Arabidopsis thaliana: one gene and its partners. The protein of the gene in region 1 interacts with the protein of each later gene in a pairwise test. Each region holds a gene or a part of one and is shown in the gene's direction. Other genes may lie near its edges. The genes, in order: AT3G11590, AT3G01690, AT2G43370 and AT3G17740.

The links.
Region 2: the proteins of AT3G11590 (region 1) and AT3G01690 interact in a two-hybrid assay, tested with the Arabidopsis thaliana proteins (one large-scale study listed by BioGRID).
Region 3: the proteins of AT3G11590 (region 1) and AT2G43370 interact in a two-hybrid assay, tested with the Arabidopsis thaliana proteins (one large-scale study listed by BioGRID).
Region 4: the proteins of AT3G11590 (region 1) and AT3G17740 interact in a two-hybrid assay, tested with the Arabidopsis thaliana proteins (one large-scale study listed by BioGRID).

The regions. Positions count from the first base shown.
Region 1 is NC_003074.8:3,658,335-3,664,577, forward strand, and holds AT3G11590 (golgin family A protein), read left to right. Parts: upstream 1-1,963; 5' UTR 1,964-2,163; intron 2,164-2,262; 5' UTR 2,263-2,293; coding exon 2,294-2,776; intron 2,777-2,829; exon of another isoform or gene 2,830-3,451; coding exon 3,452-3,574; intron 3,575-3,940; coding exon 3,941-5,203; 3' UTR 5,204-5,400; downstream 5,401-6,243. Other genes in the region: AT3G11591 (bric-a-brac protein), read right to left, coding at 5,446-5,637.
Region 2 is NC_003074.8:254,220-259,385, forward strand, and holds AT3G01690 (alpha/beta-Hydrolases superfamily protein), read left to right. Parts: upstream 1-2,075; 5' UTR 2,076-2,533; coding exon 2,534-2,835; intron 2,836-3,099; coding exon 3,100-3,136; intron 3,137-3,237; coding exon 3,238-3,474; intron 3,475-3,568; coding exon 3,569-3,616; intron 3,617-3,698; coding exon 3,699-4,160; 3' UTR 4,161-4,477; downstream 4,478-5,166. Other genes in the region: SEOR1 (sieve element occlusion amino-terminus protein), read left to right, coding at 1-125, 265-561, 656-1,027; AGP11 (arabinogalactan protein 11), read left to right, coding at 4,762-5,166.
Region 3 is NC_003071.7:18,011,189-18,016,171, forward strand, and holds AT2G43370 (RNA-binding (RRM/RBD/RNP motifs) family protein), read left to right. Parts: upstream 1-2,079; 5' UTR 2,080-2,242; coding exon 2,243-2,390; intron 2,391-2,482; coding exon 2,483-2,580; intron 2,581-2,663; coding exon 2,664-2,715; intron 2,716-2,908; coding exon 2,909-2,979; intron 2,980-3,156; coding exon 3,157-3,247; intron 3,248-3,343; coding exon 3,344-3,419; intron 3,420-3,518; coding exon 3,519-3,597; intron 3,598-3,801; coding exon 3,802-4,188; 3' UTR 4,189-4,342; downstream 4,343-4,983. Other genes in the region: BIO2 (Radical SAM superfamily protein), read right to left, coding at 1-29, 119-258, 429-634, 913-1,019, 1,236-1,415, 1,738-1,941.
Region 4 is NC_003074.8:6,066,890-6,074,608, reverse strand, and holds AT3G17740 (uncharacterized protein), read left to right. Parts: upstream 1-1,752; 5' UTR 1,753-1,794; coding exon 1,795-2,267; intron 2,268-2,379; coding exon 2,380-3,148; intron 3,149-3,323; coding exon 3,324-3,939; intron 3,940-4,197; coding exon 4,198-4,727; intron 4,728-4,800; coding exon 4,801-4,911; intron 4,912-5,270; coding exon 5,271-5,628; intron 5,629-5,747; coding exon 5,748-5,973; intron 5,974-6,162; coding exon 6,163-6,384; intron 6,385-6,461; coding exon 6,462-6,606; 3' UTR 6,607-6,925; downstream 6,926-7,719. Other genes in the region: AT3G17750 (Protein kinase superfamily protein), read right to left, coding at 1-381.

The DNA.
Region 1 (6,243 bases):
ACACTCCACACATTTGTCTGCACATCTATCCAATATTCATTCATAGGTTCAACCACAACTTTATCTACTACATATATATTTTTTATTTTATTGAACGAATTTATATTCGTTTTCCATTTCTGTCATATATCATAGTAGATGTTGATAGTTGGGTAATGGAGCAAGTGAAAGATTGATGGTTGGTAGACCATAGATTCATGCATTCATACCATAAGGTATACTGATGGTGATTGGGTAAATTTTTGAGTCAGCTATTACAATTGAAAAGTTCATCAAATGACAAAACTATTACAACTTAGATCTTTGACAGCCAAAAGAAAAAAAAAAAAAAAAGAGAAAAAAAAAACTAAATTGTTGTTAGAAATTAGAAGTCAGAAGTAAGAAGACTCCCATAGGAATACAGTTCTGGCAACCAATTTCTTAGTTCTTTATTGGGCATTCATATCTTAGTTGGGCCTGACTCATATATATTTTGAACTTTTTGTACGCAATTGTATCTAACACTATAGTCTTACATTGTTCATATATTTAATGTTTTATATTGATTGCTACCTATATATTTTGATATGATGTAGATCCAACTATTTCTAGGTTGAATTGTCTTTTCGAACAGATTTTGTTTCCGGATTCACCATAAAAAAAAAAAAAAACTTATGTGACAGAAAGTACTATAGAAAGAATCGTGTTTACAACAATAAAGAGACTTGACCCAAACAAAAAACGTTTACAACAATAAAGAGTTGAACAATAATACGGTACGATTGTGTATGTTGAATCATCTCCTCCACTTGGACGTGTCCATTTGACAACGGAAAAAAGTGTGGCCGTGTTATCTTTCTTTGTAACGTTTACAGTTTCAATTGTTTAGTTTGATCAAATAATTAACTTGTGAATTTTATGGATGCAATATCTTGAAAACTAGGAAATCATATCTGATCATCCTGCTATAAAAAAAATAATACATGCATTTTAATATTCATGGTTTCACATGAATACTTCGGTCATCCATTTTTCAATTACACGAGTGTAAATCTGTAATATCAATATTCATTTATAATTATAACGGGTTGTGATTTGTGAAATTGTGGGTATAGATAAAACTTCAAAACCTATTGAAATGAATATCTATATACTTGGAATAGTAGTAGACACATTTTGTAATGAGTAACTTAAGCACACCGGTTCTCACTCACACTCGTCTAATGGAGAAAAATGGTATATTATATACCTCATATAGGAACATGATCATATGATTTAGGAGTCATAAGCATGAGATTAACAAGATATTTTGGTCCACATTAGGAATCTACTAAAGGAACTATTTTCTTATAACCTAAAAATCTTGGTTTGGTAAAAAGAACAACCTTAGATTATTTGGTCTTTTATCGATTCATGTAATTGTGTATCAAATGATTAAAATCTAATGCATCCTACTCAAACACGTCATTTAAGAAACCCTATATAGTACAAACACGATCCAATCTCCAAATTAACCCATAGTATATCATAGACGAGCATAATATTTTTGGTCAAATATAAAATTAGATGCACTAGTTCCCTTTATTTAGGCAGATGGACTTTCTTCTAATCGAAAATAATTGTTCTCAATGAGCCGTCAAACTTTGTGAAATATGGATATAAATTCATGACATCTACATAATTTTTGGTTTAACATGTGAAATTGAACTTAGGATCTATTTCATTCGAATTCTTACCATATACTAACCAAATATAAATAATGTTTACTGCTAAATACTATTTATATAAGTTTGTTCTTCACTAAAGAAATTTGTTGATTAGTTTGTTTTTCTAATTGAGAATCTCTTATTTCAGGACCGATAAAAAGGAAGTGATTTCCGGTTTTCGATTCAATTATTTCGGTTTAAGTCGGTTTACAAATCATCCACCCTGTAAATCACGGAGCAACATCCATAATCCATACAGATCAAACCACGTGGACATGTTACAGTGTTCCTTATCACAGAAGATGAGTACTCCTGTCATCTTTCCCCTTTTCACTTTAACATAACACTCTGTACACTAGTCTGATCAAAAAACCTCAAAACACAGCAACCGCCATTTCTTTCCAAATTCCCCCAATTCCCATTCCAACTTTATCTTCTGAAGTAGAAGAAGAAGCCATAGAAATGCTTTGAAGTTTCTGTAAGTGTTCTTACTCACTCTAAAAACTTCAATTTTGGTCTTTGTGCTTTTTTCTAACAGATCGGTGAAATTTTCTGAATCTGCTTTTTGTTTTTCCAGGTAAAGAGAAAGATCTACAATTGTTTTGAATATGCCGAGGCAGAATCAAAGCGTAGAGAATCTACTTCTACTTGGCAAAATCAGGAAACGTGGTTGTTCTTCGCCGACATCGTCGACTTCTTCGATTCTCCGTGAAGGTTATAGATTCAAAAGAGCGATAGTTGTTGGTAAAAGAGGAGGATCCACTACTCCTGTACCTACATGGAGACTTATGGGTCGATCTCCTTCTCCACGAGCTTCCGGTGCTTTACACGCTGCTGCTTCTCCGTCGTCTCACTGCGGGAGCAAAACCGGTAAAGTATCAGCTCCTGCTCCTGTTTCAGCTAGGAAGTTAGCTGCGACGCTTTGGGAGATGAACGAGATGCCTTCACCTAGAGTTGTGGAGGAGGCTGCGCCAATGATTAGAAAGAGTAGAAAGGAGAGAATCGCGCCGCTTCCTCCGCCGAGATCATCGGTTCATTCTGGTTCTCTACCGCCTCATCTTTCTGATCCGTCGCATAGTCCAGTCTCTGAGGTAAAATGCTTTGGTTATGATTGGTTGAGAGGAAGAGAATGTGCTGTAATTCCAACTTCTTGCTGGCTGCCATGTGCTTTAATTCTGACCGATCAAAAGAGAGAGAGAAAAACAATAATATATATAGTATAGTATTGATTGATTCGGGGAAGTTATAAAGATCTCATCTTTAACTGATAAAATTGATAATCTTTGTGTGATTCTAAGGTCTGAATTTAGTCAAAGTTGTGATTTTTTTGGCAACCTCTATGAGTATTTTAATCATCAAGGGAGATTATTATTCGTATAAGCTTCTGGTTGATGTTAAGGAGTGGGATTAGAGAAGAATAGAAAACTGTTTTGATCTTAAGAATCTTTTGTCATGTGCTCTATAACGCACATTTATGTTTATATGAAAGGGCGTTTCTTTATAAGTTGGTGCCTATTATTCTTGCATAATTGGGCACTTCTACTAGTTTTTATTCTTTCTCATTCGTTGGTCATATGGAGGTAGCTGGTTGTTTTTTAGAGGTTGATTTATTGTGAATAATGTAGGCCTAGATTCTCTTATAATGGAGACCTAAGAAAAATTATATATAATGCTAAATCTGGCAATGGACAATGCGAAGAATTCTGCTTTCTTTACTTCTGTGTGTTAGGTAATTGGATAGCTGAGAAACTTGTTGATTTTTGTAGAGGATGGAAAGATCAGGGACTGGGAGTCGCCAGAGAAGAGCTTCATCAACTGTGCAAAAGCTTAGGCTTGGAGACTGCAATGTGGGGGCTAGGGATCCTATTAACAGTGGCAGCTTCATGGATGTAAGTTGATTTTTTTATTTTTTTTTCACTCTTGGGGATGTTTCTTTGAGCATTATGAGGAACCCTTTCTTCTAGCAGTTTTCATAATTTTCTCAAACCAAATTTGGTATTTGATTAAGGATGAAAGTAGTATATTATTGAGCATTATTGGCTCCAGAGGCTGTTGGTTTTTTTACTTTGGAAGCATACGTACACATAATCTATGGTTTGTTTTGTTATGCACAGAAACATTGCAAATAACGGTATAAGAAACTAGGAGACACTCAATCCGTTATGATTAGTTAATTTGCCTCCATCATCTATAAATCAATATGTGTGCAAGAGAGTGATGTTCAAAAATATTTGAAATGTGTTTTTCCAATGCAGATTGAGACTCGATCACGGGTGGAGACACCGACTGGGTCAACTGTGGGTGTCAAAACACGGTTGAAGGATTGTAGTAACGCTCTCACAACATCAAAAGAGCTTCTCAAAATCATTAACAGAATGTGGGGTCAAGACGACCGCCCATCTTCTAGCATGTCCCTCGTCTCTGCTTTACATTCTGAGCTCGAAAGAGCTCGCTTACAGGTCAATCAGTTAATCCACGAACATAAACCGGAAAACAACGACATTAGCTACTTGATGAAGCGTTTTGCCGAAGAGAAAGCTGTGTGGAAAAGCAACGAGCAAGAAGTTGTTGAGGCTGCAATCGAATCTGTTGCTGGTGAGCTAGAAGTGGAGAGGAAGCTGAGGAGACGGTTTGAGAGCTTGAACAAGAAATTGGGCAAAGAATTGGCTGAAACAAAATCAGCTCTGATGAAAGCAGTTAAAGAAATCGAGAACGAGAAGCGAGCGAGAGTGATGGTTGAGAAAGTTTGTGATGAACTAGCAAGAGACATAAGCGAAGACAAAGCCGAAGTTGAAGAACTGAAGAGAGAATCTTTTAAAGTCAAAGAAGAAGTCGAAAAGGAAAGAGAGATGTTGCAGTTAGCAGATGCATTGCGGGAAGAGAGAGTACAGATGAAACTATCGGAGGCTAAACACCAGCTCGAGGAGAAAAACGCAGCTGTTGATAAGCTAAGAAACCAGCTTCAAACTTACCTCAAAGCAAAAAGATGTAAAGAGAAGACCCGTGAACCACCTCAAACTCAGCTACATAACGAAGAGGCTGGAGATTATTTAAACCATCACATCAGTTTTGGATCATATAACATCGAAGATGGAGAAGTCGAGAATGGAAATGAAGAAGGTTCAGGCGAAAGCGACCTTCATTCCATAGAACTGAACATAGACAACAAGAGCTATAAATGGCCTTATGGTGAAGAGAACAGAGGAAGAAAATCAACGCCAAGGAAAAGCCTTTCTTTACAAAGAAGCATATCGGATTGTGTTGATTGGGTTGTACAGAGCGAGAAGCTTCAAAAAAGTGGAGATGGAGGGTTGGATTGGGGAAGATCTATTGACGTTGAGCCTAAAGGGTATATAGATGAAACACAAGCTTATAAACCAAACAAGGCTTCTTCAAAAGATCACCATATCCTCTCGGGTTCGAGACTAAGTAACTTCCGCGGTGGATCTGTTTCAAAGTCGCGGTTATCGGATGCTTCGAAAGGCGAGAACCAGAATGCCAGAAAATCAAGATGGTAATATGATCAAGAAATTTTATTCACATTTTCAGCGCAGAGATAACAGAATCTAAAGACTTTACATCTACATTTTTTCTCTGTTCGCTCGTTTTGTCAAGAGTGATTCTCTCATCTGTAAGTGACATAAAACATGAATTTGAACTGGTAATGATCCAAACATGTAAGAGCATGAATTTACACGAAATCGTCTTTTGATTTATATCATTTAAGAGTTAGAACGCCTACAAGATCGAAAAAAAGACACTAATCGTCGAGCCATTTCCTGATTCGATCCTTGACGAAATCATTACGAGCTTTGACGCGAGCTTGTTGCGGTGAGATGTTGGCGAGTGAGAGATACGCTCCGGCGACGAAGAGAGAAACGCCCGCCGCGAAAAAACCCACCGACACTACTAACTGCCGCCGTGTCGGCGGATACGACATAAAAAACACCATCTTATCGTTTACCGCCGTCTGTTGCAAAAGCTGTTTAATACTAACTGTTAATGGGCCGGGGTTTTTTATTTTATTTTGGGCTTTATTTTTAATCTCCAATTTCTCAACAAATTAAAAAAAAAGAGTATTAAAAAAAAGGAATGAAGATTAAACCGAGAAGGCGAGAACTTTTTTTTTTTTTGTTATTGGTTATTTAATATTATAAACAATGGTTTAATGGATTATTTTCGAATTTAGATCCATACAAAATTTGAAAAGAGCCCAATCAACTATACCAAACCGAACCAAGCTCTTAAATCAAAATCGACCCGAGCTAATAAACTGACTAAACCGATCTACTATGAAGCCCTAATCTTCAATCGGAAAATCCAAAAAAGCCGCCGGCCAACAGATCTGCGAATATTCTTCGGAATAGGACTTCCGACGAGTCTGGACAATGCGAGCCGAACGGAGATGGTAACACAGATTTCGTCGCCATCCCACGACTGTAGAGCAATATATGATTGATTGTTGATTTTTATGGTCTGTGTGTGGGTTTGTTGATCTAAATCTTATTGTATTGTAAGATCAAAAGCCAAGAAACGAAAGATCCGGAGTAAGCTCAAC
Region 2 (5,166 bases), 3.4 Mb from region 1:
TGATCTGGATTTGGGGCACTGAAGCTTTCCCTTTCACTAGATCTCGTGAGGAAGAGCTCTGGAGGAGAGAGACCTTTTCCCTTAACCTCATCGTCGACGGCATCGACTCTGTCATTTTCAACTGGGTATTTCAAAAGTCTCATCCTTTTTTCTTTTTATGATTGGCCTGGAAACTCTAGAAACAGAGCAGGCAGGGTTTGACCTAAATTACATTCATTCAAGAACGAGGCGTGATTAATGAACAATGATGGGTCTGATTTGCAGATAAAACCGGATAATTACATTTTCCTGTACGGAGGAGATGACTTGGACTGGATAAGGAGATTCACAATGGCGGCCAAAGCAACGGCCAAAGATTCCAACGTGAACCTTGAGATGGCTTACGTCGGAAAACGAAACCATAGCCACAGGGAACAGATCAGGCGTATCAGTGAAGTAATCAGGTCTGAAAACCTGAGCCATAGCTGGGCCGAACCTGCCTTGATGTGGTTCTTCTGGACTAGGCTCGAGAGCATGTTGTACTCCAAGATTCAACTCGGTAAAGCCGATGATCACGACGATGTAAGAGTTGACTAGCTAGGGTTTTCAATTATTTCGGTTCGGTTCGGTTCAATTGGTTAATGAATGATTTTGTGTGTTTGAAAACGTTGATTAGGTGATGCAAGGAATCAAAAAGATACTAAGCTACGACAAGCTTGGAGGATGGGCACTACTGAGCAAAGGACCTGAGATAGTGATGATCGCTCACGGTGCCATAGAGAGGACTATGAGTGTTTACGACCGGACCTGGAAAACCCACGTCCCGACCAAAGGCTACACCAAAGCAATGTCCGACCACCACCACGATGAGGTCCTCCGTGAAACCGGAAAACCTTGCGGCCACTTTGATTTCCACATCACTGCTCGGAGCGGTCGGATTCCGGAGAAGATGAATTGCTTCGAGTGTCAGCGTCCGATGGAGAAGTACATGAGCTTCTCTTGTTGTCACGATGAAAAGCTCCACGAAGACGAGAACTACAACTTCTAAATGATGCAATAAGCTCACGTCTCTTCCCGCTGCTTTTTCTTTTTGTTTTACGTAATTTGAATTCTCTATATAGTTTTTCATAAATAATTTCTGAATTTCAATATCTTTGTATGAGAGAGAATTGGTCATTCCATGTGTGTGGTTTGGCCTTTGTGGGACATGTTCGATTGAAGTATTCCTAATAATTTTCAATAATTAACAATTTCTTCTCTTAATAGCATAGATAAATGTTGAATTTATTTTGTTAATAAAATTAACCCTGATGAATACAACAATTTTGAATATGTCAAATTAGACCAATTCAAAATATAACTATTTGCTTTCTTTCTTCTCATAATGTTTATATATCCCACTTTAGTAAATGGACCCCCACGAAGCACACCACAGCATACTCTTTTTTATTCTTTCCAGTTTCTAATGGTTTACTTATATACTCTTATCATTTTCTAATTGATCAATTTGTCATTTATTGGCTTATCTTCTTATAAATGTTTTTTGTGTTAGTTGTTGATATCTCATTTTCTTGTCCAGTGAATTATAGCATTTCAATGTGTCCCTCATGTCGTCAATATAATGTTTTATTTTCCTTGTTATGATCCATATCTTCATGTGTGGTCCATCTTCAAATAAAGAATGGATTGTTACTACTCTTATCGTTTGGGCTAGTTTTTATAATTAGACACAAAATTTGTAACTTTCATTCTTTTTTTAGTATTTAACACAAAGTAATTTGATGGATTAGTCTAAATAATAAAGGCAAAAAGTTAAGTAAATGTCAAAAGAGATATGGCATATGTCTAATCATAACCAATGAATTGCATGGTTCTATCTAAATAGCAACCATATCATCCCACATGCCATTGTCCACCTTGTCTATCTTAGGAAAACACTTTGTTTGTAACTCTATTGTACTCTTTGAATTATGAAATCTATGTAAACCCTTCTTATTGTGGGGGACAAAGGCTAATTTTAATGGTCTGTCCACTTCTGCTTGACTTTGATACATAAATTAGGGGTGGCTCATGTCATATCTATGAGAATTAGGTACAAAAGAGTTTTCAAATGAGCAAGTTGTATTTTTATTCGATTAGCCGTCGTATTATGTCAAATATAAGTTAAAAATATGTAAAAGTACAAAATGTAGATTATGATATTAGGGATGAATTGAGATAAAATTACCTATAATTTATTACTACGCATAATAAATAATTTGTTACGTTAATTCTCATAGATACGTTATAGCCAATACCGAACCCCTATTTAAGTCAAAAGTACTTCTAAGTATTTTTTAGCGTAAATCAATTTTTATGAAAAGCAACAATTAAGATTAATGTAGTAATCTAGTAATCGTTAAAAAAGCCACTTTGTTAGTATTGCTTAATACTCTCTCTCTCTCTCTGTTCCCAAGGAGATGAAAAGCTTCAATCTCAAAACATAGCAGCTCTCTCAATAAACCAAACCCAAATGCAAGCTGTGTAGAGAGAAACGGAGTGAGGAAGGAAGGAGATGGGAGGGGTGACGTCATCGGTGGCGGCGAAGTTTGCCTTCTTCCCGCCGAGTCCACCGTCTTACAAGGTGGTGACCGACGAGCTCACCGGACTGTTGCTTCTCAGCCCTTTCCCCCACCGCGAAAACGTAGAAATCGTAAAGCTTCGGACCAGGAGAGGCACAGAGATCGTGGGCATGTACGTGAGGCATCCGATGGCTACCTCCACGCTCCTCTACTCCCATGGCAACGCCGCCGATCTGGGACAGATGTATGAGCTCTTCATTGAGCTTAGCATCCATCTCAAGGTTAATCTTATGGGGTCTGTTTTTCTTTCTCTCCCTTTGTAATTCGATTGATTTTATTATTATGATGCTGATTTAAAAATGTTATCTTTGTATGCTTCTTTTGATTGATTTGGTATAGGATTTGCCCTGTTTTGATTCTCACGTTTCTAGCTCTGTTTCTAGTATTTGCTCTGTTTATGTTTGGAGTGTTTATTCACCACCCCAATAAAAAAGGAAACTTGGGCTAGGATCTGCTTGGAATCAATCAGTCTTTGATATTATTGGTTGTGATGTTGCAGATACGATTACTCCGGGTATGGACAATCTACTGGAAAGGTTTGTCCTTTACCCCATCAATCTGATTGGTCTGATGATCCATTATGAGTTTTAGGACCAACTCTCAAAAATCTTTCTTTCTCTTAAATGATTGATTGTAGCCGAGTGAGCATAACACGTATGCTGATATCGAAGCTGTTTATAAGTGTCTTGAAGAAACCTTTGGCTCTAAGCAGGAAGGTGTCATCCTCTACGGCCAATCTGTAGGCAGCGGACCTACGTTAGATCTTGCTTCCCGGTTGCCTCAACTTAGAGCCGTCGTCCTTCACAGCCCCATTCTCTCCGGTTTAAGAGTTATGTATTCCGTCAAGAAAACCTACTGGTTCGACATCTACAAGGTAGACCACGTACCAATTCTTTCTATTAATCCTACACATTCTCCAAATTGTAATGTAAGAAGCTTGTTGTGTGTGAGTGTGTGTTTTTCCGCAGAATATCGACAAAATCCCATATGTCGATTGCCCGGTTCTCATCATTCATGTAAGTCAGGTTTCAGATAGATACATTTTCGTTTGAATTTTTGATAAGCTTTTTGGATCCAAACAGTTTCAAATATGTGCAGGGAACTTCGGATGAGGTAGTGGATTGTTCTCATGGGAAACAACTATGGGAACTCTGCAAAGACAAGTACGAGCCGCTCTGGGTGAAAGGAGGGAACCACTGTGATCTTGAACACTACCCTGAATACATTAGACACCTCAAGAAGTTCATAGCAACAGTAGAGAGATTACCATGTCCGAGGATGAGCAGCGACCAATCAGAGAGAGTGAGAGATGCGCCCCCGAGGAGAAGTATGGACAGGAGAGTGAAGCCGAGGCAGAGCACAGAGCGTAGAGAGAAAGAGAAGCCACCAAAGAGTCAGTCGAAGATGAGTAGCAGCAGCAGCAAGCTCAAGATCTCGTTTGATCAACTTGATCGCTCGCGGAGGAGCGTTGACTGCCATGAAAAGACTCGGAAGAGCGTTGACCAGATTGAGAGGGGGAGGAAGAGTGTGGATAGGTTGGATAGAGTTCGCTCCGAGTAAAAACCACACACTCACACTCACACACGTATAATACGTATGTAGATGAAAAGAGTACATAACTGTTTCTATTTACCGAACAAAATAACATGTGGATGTCGCTCCTCATATTATTGATTTGTAATCTTTTATGCAATTTGGGATCTCTCTCGCCATCTCCTTTTGAATCAACAACCTTTTGTGGTGGGCTTGAATATCCATCCTCTGTTTTTAGATGAGTTTTTAGTGTTTGTGGTAAGTAGGAAAGTTCCAAAACAAAGATCACACATCTCATGTGGGCCTGAACTAAATTCATGGCCCAATCGTTTGTTCTTAATAGAAATCCAATTTTTAGGATCTCGCTATCTTTTGCTACGTACAAAAATTAATATATACAAAAAGTAGCTCACTTCTAAAATAAGGCTAATGGATGCCCATTTTCTTCTCAAATCCATCGATTTTCCTAAAATTTCTCAAATTTCAAAACATATAAATCCATCTCATTGTCCTCTTGTTTTCCTTCATCTGAAGCTTCTGCAGTATTCAAACAAATAAAATATACTGCTTTAGCTTTGGACACCTCCTCTTACTAATCTCTATAACTATATTTAAAAAGTAGAAAATAATGGCACGTCTATTTGTCGTAGTTGCCCTTTTGGCTTTGGCCGTGGGCACCGTATTCGCCGCCGATGCACCTTCAGCTGCACCCACCGCCTCACCAACCAAATCCCCAACCAAGGCTCCTGCCGCTGCACCCAAATCCTCCGCCGCCGCACCGAAAGCATCATCCCCTGTTGCTGAGGAACCCACCCCTGAAGACGACTACTCTGCAGCCAGCCCCAGTGACTCCGCCGAGGCACCCACCGTCTCCTCCCCACCCGCTCCTACCCCCGAAGCCGATGGTCCCTCCTCCGACGGACCCTCATCTGATGGACCCGCCGCCGCCGAGTCACCCAAAAGTGGCGCCACGACTAATGTGAAGCTCTCCATCGCCGGCACTGTCGCCGCCGCCGGATTCTTCATCTTCTCT
Region 3 (4,983 bases), on another chromosome or scaffold:
ATCCTGATCATCTCCCATATCTCAACTGGCTGCAAAAACACAAACGGTTCTCAAAGCCATTTCCTACTAAGTAGCTGCTATGACTTGCAATTTGTGATTTTAGATTGTGGAGATATACCTTCTGGTCTTCAAGAGGAGTGCCTTTCACTGCAAGTAGAGCATTAATGGGAACACTCTCAGGGTGAGAAGGAAGTGTTGCCAGCGTGTGTAATAAACCTATTCTGTCTTCCTCTGCCTCACCAAGCCCTATGATTCCTCCTGTTTATCGGTAAAAGAAAACACTTGAGAACATGTCGTATCTATGGATTTATCAAAATCAACGAATATTACAAAACTGTGAGTCTAATGACCAAGCTGAAGACAGGTTTCAATCCTTTAGTTCTATAGAATTGAGGCATACAAGAATACTATTTTCATATCAAAGTTACCTGAACAAACGTTGATTCCAGCATCACGAACATGGCTAAGAGTTTCAAGGCGATCGTCATAACTTCTAGTAGTGATGACGTTTGGGTAGTACTCTCTTGAAGTATCAAGATTGTGGTTATAAGCAGTGAGGCCAGCCTTCTTTAGCTCTAGTGCTTGTTGTTTCTCAATCATGCCTAAGGTGCAGCAAACTTCCATCCCCATGCCTCTGTTTTAAAGTGAGAGCCCAGAAAGTTAGTAAACACATTCAGCCAGACACCATCATCAACATCATATTCATTCTGCTCACGGATACATCAAGTACACTTTGAAATTTTCACTTTAGTTTGACATGCAAAAATGTTCATTCTAGAACCATTAATGATCGGTTCGGTGGGTTATCTTTTAAGTTAGCTTAGATTCAGAAGCAGCTGAAAAAGGGATCATATAATGTAGTATAAACAAGGAAATTCAAAGTTCAACTTAAAAAGCATAATAGTAAGGTACCTTATTTCTTTGATGTATTCAAGAATCTGGCTGAAGTTGGTTTTCCGTCCAATTGTATCTCGCCAAGCAGCACCCATGCAAAAACGTGTGCTCCCAGCTTCTTTTGCCTAACAACACATCAAATTTGTTAATTCAAATCAGAAGAGCTCATTACATCGTCAAAATGCTTCATTAAACAATTAGAGTCTTTTGGATAGAGATAGAGCTCGGATTGATAAAAACAACGTTTTGGTACATAGTAATGCATGTCCCCTTCTTCTTGATACATTCTGCTAAGGATTCTACATTCAGCAAAAATAAACATTCACAAGAAAAGTGCAAACCTTCTTAGCAGCATCAATGACAGCGTCCTTAGACATGAGTCTTTGTGCCTTAACTCCAGTGCTATATCTCGAAGACTGAGGACAATATGAACAGTCTTCACTACAGCCACCAGTCTTTATGGAGAGGAGGGTACATTGTTGTACCTCCCTGAAGTTATGAACATGTCTATGAACCTGAGCCTGAAACCCAAAGAGTCCACACACCATCGTTATTCAAGTAAAAGACAACTGATAACGAGATCAGATGAGCAACCAAATGAATAATACCTAGCTCAATAGACATTACAAAGACACTAAAATCCGGGAAATTAAGACAAATGTTTCAAAGAGAACAAACATGTTCTGGGTTAAACTAAAAATCGATACTTTCCACCAATAATTTAACAGAAACCCAAAGCTTTCTACTTCAAATTTGTGATTTAGAGTAGCTAGAACAACAAAGAGAAGAGTAAGTGAGAGAGAGAGAGAGAGAGAGAGAGAGAGAAGAAGAAGGGTAAATTACTCCATGGAAGAGGAGGTCAAGAAGAGGAGAATCATAAACAGACTTGATTTCATCTCTACTCCAATCGTTTCTGGGACCTTCTCTGATAGTCCTCTCAGCTTCAGCTGAAGCAGCAGATAATGAAGAATAGCAAGAAGCAGATTGCAGACCACCCGAGACAGAGGGTCGCAACTGAGATCGAAATACAGATCGAACAAGCATCATTTGATCTGCTAATCAGAAAATGTGGAAAAAGAAGAAGAAGAAGAAATGAGATTTGGTGTTTGGTTTGTGCTAGAGCTTTTCACTCTTCAGTGAGTGATTCACCTAACCCAAAGCAGCCACCGTTGGAGTTTCCGCCTTCGTGTGGGACCTACGAGAATATCATATATCTTTAACTGGGCTGTAATAAGCCCAATTTATATGTTGGGCTTTTTAATAGTAATCAATTCAAACGACGACGTTATTCTTTATTTCCTTAAACAGCCGGAGCCGCCGTGAGAGAGAGAGAGTCGGGGGAGAAGAAATGAGCGGCGGAGGAAACAACGTCGTGAACAAAGTGTTCTACGCGACGTCGTATCATCCGATTCAAGCCGGAAGTATCGACGGAACTGATGTTGCTCCACATGATAACGGCGTCCGTCGAGCTCTTCTCTGTTATAACGCTGGCTTATGTATGTATACTCTCTCGTTCTCTCTGCTCCTCTTTTCACTTTTATCGTTTGGTTTCTGAATTCAAATACATTGATTTGGGTTGTTTTGAAAGATGATCCTTCTGGTGATTCGAAGGCTGTTGGAGATCCTTACTGTACTCTCTTCGTGGGTCGTCTCTCTCATCACACTACGGAGGATACACTTCGAGAGGTTAATGATTGAAATTTCACTTAGTTTTTGATTTTCGTGTAGACTATGTTTTGAATATGATTATAAAAGTTTCTTCTTCGTAGGTGATGAGTAAGTATGGCAGGATTAAGAACTTGCGCTTGGTAAGACACATTGGTAAGATTTTGCAATTGCTCTACTTATGACATCAACACTTTGCTTTATCTTTAGGAAATTTATCATCTTTCTATTTCTGATGGTTTGTTACTTTCTACCAAGATATTTGTCTAAGCAGAACTGTGATTACATATTTCCTCTAAGTTCCACATTGTGTAGTATTGAGTCTCCTCTTCTTGTTACCTTTTTTTAGTGACGGGAGCTTCACGAGGATATGGTTTTGTGGAGTATGAGACTGAAAAGGAGATGCTTCGTGCTTATGAGGTGCTGTGATACTAAATTGCATTTTCTTTTTACCTCTTGTTTTTGTTGTTGAAAGCTGTCTGAACCACTTACTAAGGCACCGCAATGTGATTGTTTCATTAACATCTCCGTGTAATTACTGGAAACTAGTGGAGTTTGTTTATCAGAGTGAGAATTTTTTTGGTGTTTCTTTAGCAGGATGCTCATCATTCACTAATAGATGGGCGAGAGATTATTGTTGATTATAATAGACAGCAATTGATGCCTGGATGGATACCAAGAAGACTAGGTTTGCCATTCTTTACCTTTATTTTTGTCTGTAATGAAATGTCATAGGCGTTATATTTTCATCCCTTACAGATGAAATCTATTTCTCTCTTAACAGGAGGTGGCCTTGGTGGTAGGAAAGAATCCGGACAACTTCGCTTTGGAGGACGAGATAGACCATTCCGTGCTCCCTTGTATGGTTTTGCTTTACTCTTCCTTTAGCATGTCCAGAGATAACACCAGCTAAACATAGTGGTCATGAAATGGGCATTCTTTCTATTTGTTAATATCAGACGACCAATCCCTCATGAAGATTTGAAAAAGCTCGGTATTCAGCTTCCGCCTGAGGGAAGATATATGTCGCGCACACAGGTCTACCATGTCTTGAACTTCACCACCACTCTATAGTCATTTGAACTTTACCCCTGTTCTGTCTCTGGTGCTATCTTATTGGGTCATTTGTTAATGTTCTTCTGCTAGAAATAATATATTAAATGGGTTGTTCAATGTGTCTAGTGGAAAGCTGATAGTTTGTAAACTAAAATCTTGGTACCACAACTTACTTGTTGGATGCAGATCCCATCACCTCCAAGGAGAAAAGGAAGTGTGTCGGATAGAGAGGAAGAATATTATCGGGAAAAGAGTTCTGTAGAACGGGAAGAAGAGTTTAAAGAGCGAAGCAGCCTTAGGTCATATCACAGTCACAGGTCGAGCGCACACACACACAGTTCTCATAGAAGACGCAGCAAAGACAGAGAGGAGTGTTCCAGGGAAGAGTCCCGTTCTGATAGAAAAGAGAGAGCACGAGGTATGGAAGATCGATATGGTGACAACAAGGGTGAAGTTTCTGGCAGCAAAAGATCAAAACGTTCTGAAGAAGACCGATCTCGCAAACGTCATAAACACTTGCCTTCCCATCATCATAGGAGGTCCTATAGTCAAGATCATCATTCTTCCGACTAAGTAATCATATTGTAAAAAAAATAACAATAATATTTGGTGTTACAGATTTTTTTTTAATAATATTTGGTGTTAGAGACTTTTAAGAGTGCCTTTTGAACCAAAGAAAAAAAAAGTGTAGTGTATGTTAATCAAATATAGCAAAACAGAAATTGTCTTTTTTTTTTAGTTACAAACAAGATATTTGTTTTGCAATTAACATGAGTGAATTGTCTTTATATCTTAAATTATGGCCGTATAGATTTGATTGTTAAGATATAAAAAAATTTGGGATGATGCAATTTGTAATTTATCTAAATGGATAAAATAGTTCATCAAATATTATTATTTTTATGAACTATGACATTACAGTTGGATTTGTTTCTGTAGTTTATCTTATATTTCTTTTTTTAGAACTAATGAACTATTATTATCTTATATTTTGTTTTGTATTGAATTTGTTCGAATATAAAAACTCACATTTGATGTTGAAATAGAGATTTAGTTTGTCTGTGTAGATACTAGATAGTTGTTGTATCAACAGACAGAATTGAAACTTGGTTTCAGATTCTTGTTTTGTTTATTCAAACTCACTTTGATTTGATTGTATTTGTACCTCTCATGAATTGTCTATTAGGAGGATAGAGAGTCGCCTCAGATTGACTAGAGACAATGTCATTCTCGTACTCGTTGCATGCAAGTGGAATAAAAGTCAAATTATCCGAAACAGGGATATCCCATCTTCCTAGCTGATCAGAAAATATGGTGTATCTCTTAATTTCCGGCCTCAATTTTTTGTTCTTGCTGCAGGTATTTGTG
Region 4 (7,719 bases), 2.4 Mb from region 1:
GAGCTCGGTATCCTCAAATCCTTCAGCAAACGTGAATCTCTCCTCCCAAAAATCTGCATTACCACTTTGTGTCTGAACAGAAACATCATTCATAAGATTACTCTCGTGTAAGTTATTGGCAGCTCCACATTGTATCTCTTTCACAACCAATTCATCAGAAATGTGACTATCGTTGTGAAGACCCAATGCTTGGCTACTCCCGCCTTGCTTCTTCTTATCCAACAACTTGCTCACACAATTATCCTCAAAGTTAAGCTTTTGAAGAGACCCATTTGAACTTGGTTTCTTAGAAAGCTCACTAATCAACGCAGCTTCAGCTCTCATAAAATGATTCTTCCGCAAAAATTCCAAAATCGAATCGATAGAGCTCGAATCCTCCATTTCCCCAAATCTCTAGAAACAAATTTTCACAAAACCTGAGAAACATTTACACAAACAGAAACTCCATGATTTATTTCTTCGAATCTCAAATAATTCCTCCCTCCAAACAAAAACCCAGAAAGATAAAATTAAGCAACTTAGTGACTAGTACGAAAATTCGTTAGACAGAACCCTAACAAAAGCATATTCTCCTTCTCTCATGAATATTACCCCATAAAAAACAAAACAAAAAACCCAGAATTCGAAGTCGAGCAATCATTTTCACTTACAGATCTAATTCGAGCAGCTTCAATCAATTTCTTGCAATATTCCTTGTTGAAGTTCTTTTGATTTGTTCTGCAAAATCTAATGGAGCTTCTTCTTCTTCGTCTTAATAAATTTGCTTATGCTGCAATCCCGGCGCTTCCCTCCTCCTTGGACATCCCATTATCAACGCCACCAATGCGCAAATAATAATGCCAATTTTTATTTTATTTTTTCGTTTATTTTTATTAAATGTGTTTATCTTTTTTTTTTTTTTTTTTTCAACCGATATAAATTAAAACTCAAAAGAGTCAATCCGGGATATTGTTTACATACGTGACATGAACAGTCTGTAAAGAAAGCTACGTTCTGGTTATCTGCTCCAATCATGCACTTCATCGCCCAAAGAAGAGCTTCCATTTCGGTATGTAGAGGAGATAGGCTTCTACGAACGTTGACGGCTCCCATGGTTGGCGACTCTCCAAGAGATGATAGACAGAACCATCCTGTTCCTGAGAACTGGTCACTTGCTTTCCAAGATCCATCAATAAAACACCGATAGCCAGAAAAAGTTGTATCTTGTGATACATCCCTCACCCGAATTCGATTATCTATAGACAAAGAACCATGACTTTCACTATGGAGCTCGAATTGAGCTTCCTGCCACGATTGAGCCTCTTTTACCGCTAAAAGCAATATTTACGCCTGAAGGAATTCTCCAAAACAAATGTGTTTACCTTCTCCAAAATGTGTTTACCTTTGGATCCATGGAAAATCATTAGTTTTGGTGGGAAATAAAAAAGCAAAATGACACTTTTGCCAATTTTTATTAGACTGTCCTAAATTTATCACAAATTTTAGTTTATTCTTTACAATATTGCACGTGGTTTTTATACTTTTTGCTGTACTTTTTCATAACGAATTAACGAGTAAAATTAAATATGGCGTAATAATTAATCAATAAATATTTACCGGTTATGTAGTTTCGAATTCAAATTCGAATGTTGTTGAACATTAAACAATGAGTAAATTCTTTCAATGTTAATAGAGCCCATTAATTATTTATATAGGCCCAATAATTAGGCCTATTCAGTATTCACGATCCTTGGCAGAAATATATAGCGGCACAAAAAAAATACAGAATCGGTTTTGTTTTTTCCGGTGGATGTAATGTCGAATACACCAGAAGACGGCGACGGAGCACAGGTAACTACAGGCGGCTTGTTCCCCGTCTTCCCTACTTCGGCGAACTCCATCTCAGCTATTTCGAATGCTCCTCAATGGCTTCGCAACGCTAGCTTCACTACGGATCTCTCTGTCATCAACGCTGCCGCTTCGACGGCTCCTTCCTCATCCGAGGTCGAGGCTGGAGACGACGAAGATGAAGAAGGAGGAGCTGATGGAAATATCGGTTTAGCTAATCAGGCTAGGGTTTATAATTTGGTTGAAGAAGAAGGGTCTTTGGAGTCTGATGACGACAAGGTAAAGAGGAAGCGAGAGAAAAAGAAGAAACGGAAGAGTGATAATGCTTCGGATGAATCTCGTTCTCGTAAATCTGATGAATACTATTCGAAACCTGTGAAGGATTATTACTTGGACACTCGTCCTGATCCAGATAATCTGGCTTATGGCTCTATTTACAGGTACTTTGCTTATAATTTGTCTAGTTATGGTTGGTTTCATTTTCTGTATTCTGTGCAAGGCGTTTTAAGAGTGTAGGGATATTGAAATTTTGCTTCTGTTTGCATAATACAGGATGAATGTTCCTCGTTATAAACTTGACAATTCTCAGAGAGTTCCAGGGTCAGGTTCTCTGAGGTTTTATTTGCGGAATCGACGTAGTTCTATGCTTGACACAGAGATTGATATTGATTCTTTGGAGGGGAGAGCAAAGTCTGATACCCGATACTGGTATGCAAAACATGCTGCCATGGAACGCAACAAGAATTTCAAGCGTATTCGTTTATCTGCTGCAAGTGAAGCTGTGGATTCTTCCTTTGATAATTTCATTCCACTGGAGGAAGACGTGACTGTTCCAGAAAGTGACGAAGAAGATGTTTTATCAAAGGACTCAATGATTGGAGCATCATGGGAGGATGAAGTGCTGAATAAAACACGGGAGTTCAACAGAGTGACGAGAGAACGTCCCCATGATGCAAAGGCATGGCTGGCATTTGCTGATTTTCAAGACAAGGTTTCAAGTATGCAATCTCAGAAAGGAGTTCGCCTGCAGACTTTAGAGAAAAAGATTAGTATACTTGAGAAGGCTTTTGAGCTGAACCCAGATAGCGAAGAACTGTTGCTTGCTCTGCTCAAGGCATACCGAAGCAGAGACAACGCTGATGTACTAATCAGTAGGTGGGAAAAGGCACTTATGCAGAATTCCGCAAGCTACAAATTATGGAGGGAGTTTTTATGTGTTGTTCAAGGGGAGTTCTCCAGATTCAAAGTATCAGAAGTGAGGAGGCTGTATTCTTATGCGATCCAGGCTCTTTCTTCTGCTTGCAGCAAGCGACATAGGCAGGTTCTTATTTTATGGTGCTAACTGATAAGGGTTGATGAATCACTTCATTACGTACTGTTTACTGTCACAAGTCGTTTGGTGTTTCCCCACTATCTTTAATCGCTGGCATTATTGATATTCTCATTAATAGCAGTTTGACATTGTAAGGTCTAATTCTATTTATTGGATTATGCAGGTGGATACAACATCTGAACCATTGGATTCTGCTGCCATCCAACAGGAACTCGTTCTAGTCGATATGCTAGTTAGCCTCTGCAGGTTTGAGTGGCAGGCTGGTTACCAGGAGCTGGCCACAGCGTTACTTCAAGCCGAAGTGGAATTTAGCATCTTTTCTCCATCTTTGTTGCTAACTGAACAGAGTAAATTACGACTGTTTGAGCACTTTTGGAGCAGTAATGGTGCTAGAGTTGGAGAAGAAGGAGCTTTTGGATGGTTATTGTGGCTGGAGAAAGAGGAGGAAAACAGGCAGAAAATTTTGAAAGAAGAATCCTCTGATGACAATGAAGTAGGTGGTTGGACAGGTTGGACAGAACAGGTCTCAGGTAGAAATGGAGATGATATTGCTTCAGCTAACACTGGAGAGGTCGATGTTGATCGGAAGGGTCTGGATGAGGAAATGGAAGACGAGAATAGCAAACCTGAAGATGACACCGAAGCTATGCTGAAATTATTGGGCATTGATGTCAATACTGCGGCCAGTGATGAGGTTAAAGATACATCAACTTGGGTTAAATGGTTTGAAGAAGAGGTTTCTCGAGATCACAGTCAATGGATGCCTACTCGGAAAGCTGGTATCTATCTCTATCTTTACCATCATTATCTCTGTATTGTTTGTTCATCTTTTCTTTTGGAGCTTACAAAGGTCTAAATGTGTCTGTTGGGTGAATTTTGTCCAACTGGGACTAGTCGCTCAGCCTTCTTTGTCATTCCAGAGTCATTAGTAAATAAATTCCAGTCTCTATAGATATGTTTGATGGTATTGTTGACATGTAATCTATCTAAAAGACTGTAAACATGCATGTGGTTAACCGTCCATCATCCTTTAATAGGTGAATTCTCCAGTGTTGAGGGAATGGGTGAGGGAGAAGATGAAGAGCAACTCTCAAGTGTTGTACTATATGAAGATATAAATGGATATCTATTTTCCTTACGTTCAAAGGAGGCCCGCTTATCTCTGGTATACCAGTTCATTGATTTCTTCGGTGCACATATCTCCCCATGGACTTCCAGCAACAGTTTGTCGTGGAGTGAGAAAATAAGTAGCCTTGAAACATTTTCAGATTCCATGTTAGAAAACTTGAGAAGTGTTCATGAATGTTTGTCGAAATCAGATAGTGCCAACTGTTTCAGCTTGGGATCTCTTCTAGGTGGCAGCTGTGACTTATCTATGCGGACTGAGATGATGAAGTTTCTCCGCAATGCCATCTTGCTTTGTCTAAATGTTTTCCCGCGAAATTACATTCTCGAAGAAGCTGTGCTTGTTGCAGAAGAACTATTTGTAACAAATATGAAAACATGTGAGGTAGCAACTATGCCATGCCAAGCTTTGGCCAAACGTCTCCTGAAAAGTGACCGGCAGGTAAGCCCCATTCCAATTTTTTGATGTGTTTTTTTGTTCAGTTTATCTGAACTGATTCGTTCTCTATGAACAGGATCTACTACTTTGTGGAGTTTATGCACAGAGAGAAGCTGCTTCTGGAAATATGAAACATGCAAGGCGAGTCTTCGACATGGCACTGACTTCTATCTGTGGCCTCCCTAAGGTTAGTTTCAGATCTTTTGGTTATATTGTTACTTGTTAGCATATGATACAAAATTTCAGGTTTCCACGTATGTTTCTAATTCCAAGGAACTTCTGGATCAGTAACCCTGGTTTTGTGTTTATTTCTGATTCAAATTATCGCGTACTGGTCCCAAAAACTGGGGCACTGCCACTTGAGTTTGGACAAGATAATCTCTCTCATGGACGGATCATAGTAGAGTTTGTTATAGAACAGTCTCTTCTTGGTAATGTACAGGGAAGCATGGCCTAGTGGATATATCTAGCCCAATTTCCGTGCTTTCTTTGGATTTTTATGACATTGCAAAAGCCATGCTAAATTTATTTCACCTATGATTGCAGGAATTACAGTGTAACACTCCTTTGCTATGTTTATGGTATGCTGAATCGGAAGTAGCCAATAGTAGCGGCAGTGGTAGGGATACAGAATCATCATCTCGTGCTATGCATATTCTGTGCTACCTGGGAAGTGGTCTAGCTTATAGTCCTTATACTTCCCAGTCTTCAAGCATGCAAATTCTTAGAGCACGCCAGGGGTTCAGAGAGAAGCTTAAGAAGATACAATCAACATGGTCTCATGGTGTCACAGATGATCAATCAGCAGCGCTTGTTTGTTCGGCAGCTCTATTTGAGGAGTTAACAAATGACCTTCCTGGTGCTCTTGAGATCTTAGAGCACATGTTCAGTTCTGTTCTTCCAGGTTATTTACTTATTTCCATGATCAGTATTCTTGGGTTCACTTACTATTTTCCATATGAATTTCTCTTAAAAGCATGTATCCACTGTATATCTGAATTTGGGCTATTGTGAATTTTTCAGGAAGAAAAAGTCAAAGTCATCAACTTGAACTCTTGTTCAATTATTATGTGAGAATGCTTCAGAGACACCAGGACGATCTAACTTTGTCACAACTTTGGAAGCCCATATCAGAGGGACTGCAACTGTATCCTCTCAATCCTGAACTTTATCGAGCTTTGGTGGACATTTGTAATCACCGGATGACATCCCATAAACTGAGAATGATGTTCGATGACTACTCCCGCAAGTAAGCTTTTTCACAAACTTGTTAATAAGAAACCCTCCGATCTCAGGAGTACTGCCTAATGTTGATAGAGATGCTTAGCTTAAATGGTTAAAGACTAACAGTTACATGTTTATGGCCTTCCTCCTAGAACAAGGTTTATATATATCGACATTTCAGTGCTAAGCAAGTTTAGTATATCTAATCATGCAGGAATTCGTCTGTCGTTGTTTGGCTATTTGCACTTTCTTATGAATTGAGTAAAGGAGGCTCATCACACAGAATCCGCGGATTGTTTGAAAGGGCATTGGCACAAGATACACAAAACAACTCAGTTATTCTATGGCGTTGCTACATAGCATATGAGATCGACATCGCGGACAATCCATCAGCAGCTAGAAGGATTTATTTCCGAGCTATAAATGCATGCCCATGGTAAGAAAAATCTAGAGTTCTTTCTCCAGATTTCTCATATTGTCTGAGAACCAATTCTTAACATAATGACATGGCAGGTCGAAGAAACTATGGCTCGATGGGTTTGGGAAGCTGGGATCAGTCTTGACGGCAAAAGAGATGTCAGATTTACAAGAAGTGATGCGGGACAAGGAACTGAACATTAGGACAGATATCTACGAGATTCTGCTTATGCAGGGATGAGATCATTTAAGTGTCAACTAACAAATATTGTTGTAATATGGAAACGTGATTTTCTATAAATAATCAAGTATAAGTTCATTTAAGTATTTATGAGTGTGCGTCTCACTCGATAAGTTCATTGACTCCCCAAAATTGGCCAATGTTGGCAGGTTTAAGTGAATATGTTTCCTTGAACGGAAATTTGTATTGGACTGCTTACAAGAGACTCGTGAGTATTTTTCTCGGAAGCTTTGATTCCTCCACGGAAATATCGATGCTCTTTTGCCTCCTTGTGAGAAGTGTTTCTGGCTCACTAGATAAACTTGTCATCACTGTATTTAAGGGCGATCGATTTGCATTGTTAAAGCAAACTCGTATATGAATACAGAGATTTGGGTAACAAAGGACAAGATTAACATTAGTAATAAGGATGACGTGGTGTGGTTACACTTACTGACACTGTCAATACCTGACTTTCCCTTGCTATTCCATTAATTTTCTGGTATTACTTACTTCATCTTTGACAAGACCATAATCATGTGTTGTGGCGATTACAAAACTGGAGCTACTTGCATCTATATGGTGAGGGGAGATATGTTCAAGAAGATTCAGATCAATTCTGGGATTTTTCAGTTTTCTTACTGTGTCTATCTTCCTAATTTGATCTCGGTTCCTTTTGAATCACATCAAGTTTAAAAGCAATTTCTGCTCTCCTTGTTACAGAGAGCAGCTATAATACCTTTTCCCTTCTTTGAAAGGTGATTTTGTTTAAATTTCTTATATGCTCTGAATAAACGACGATGTATAGTACATGAGCTTTCTTGAATTTTTTACAACTTTTTTCTTAATGTTGGGTTAATAGTATCATATTTTATTAATAGTATCATATTTTAATCAGCCTAAAACAAAGTTATACTTTCGAAACGTTATTTTGGGGAAACCATGTAGATGAGGACTGTAGTGAGACAAACGTTCTTGAGATTCTGATTAGACAAAACGTTCATTCTTAAGAGGCCTACAACATCGCAGAGGTTCAAGAATCAGTCAACAATACATTTGTCATAAATTATATCTACAAGATAAGAAGAACATACAAGTCACTTTATCACGTCAAGGGTTTTAAAGACCCATTTT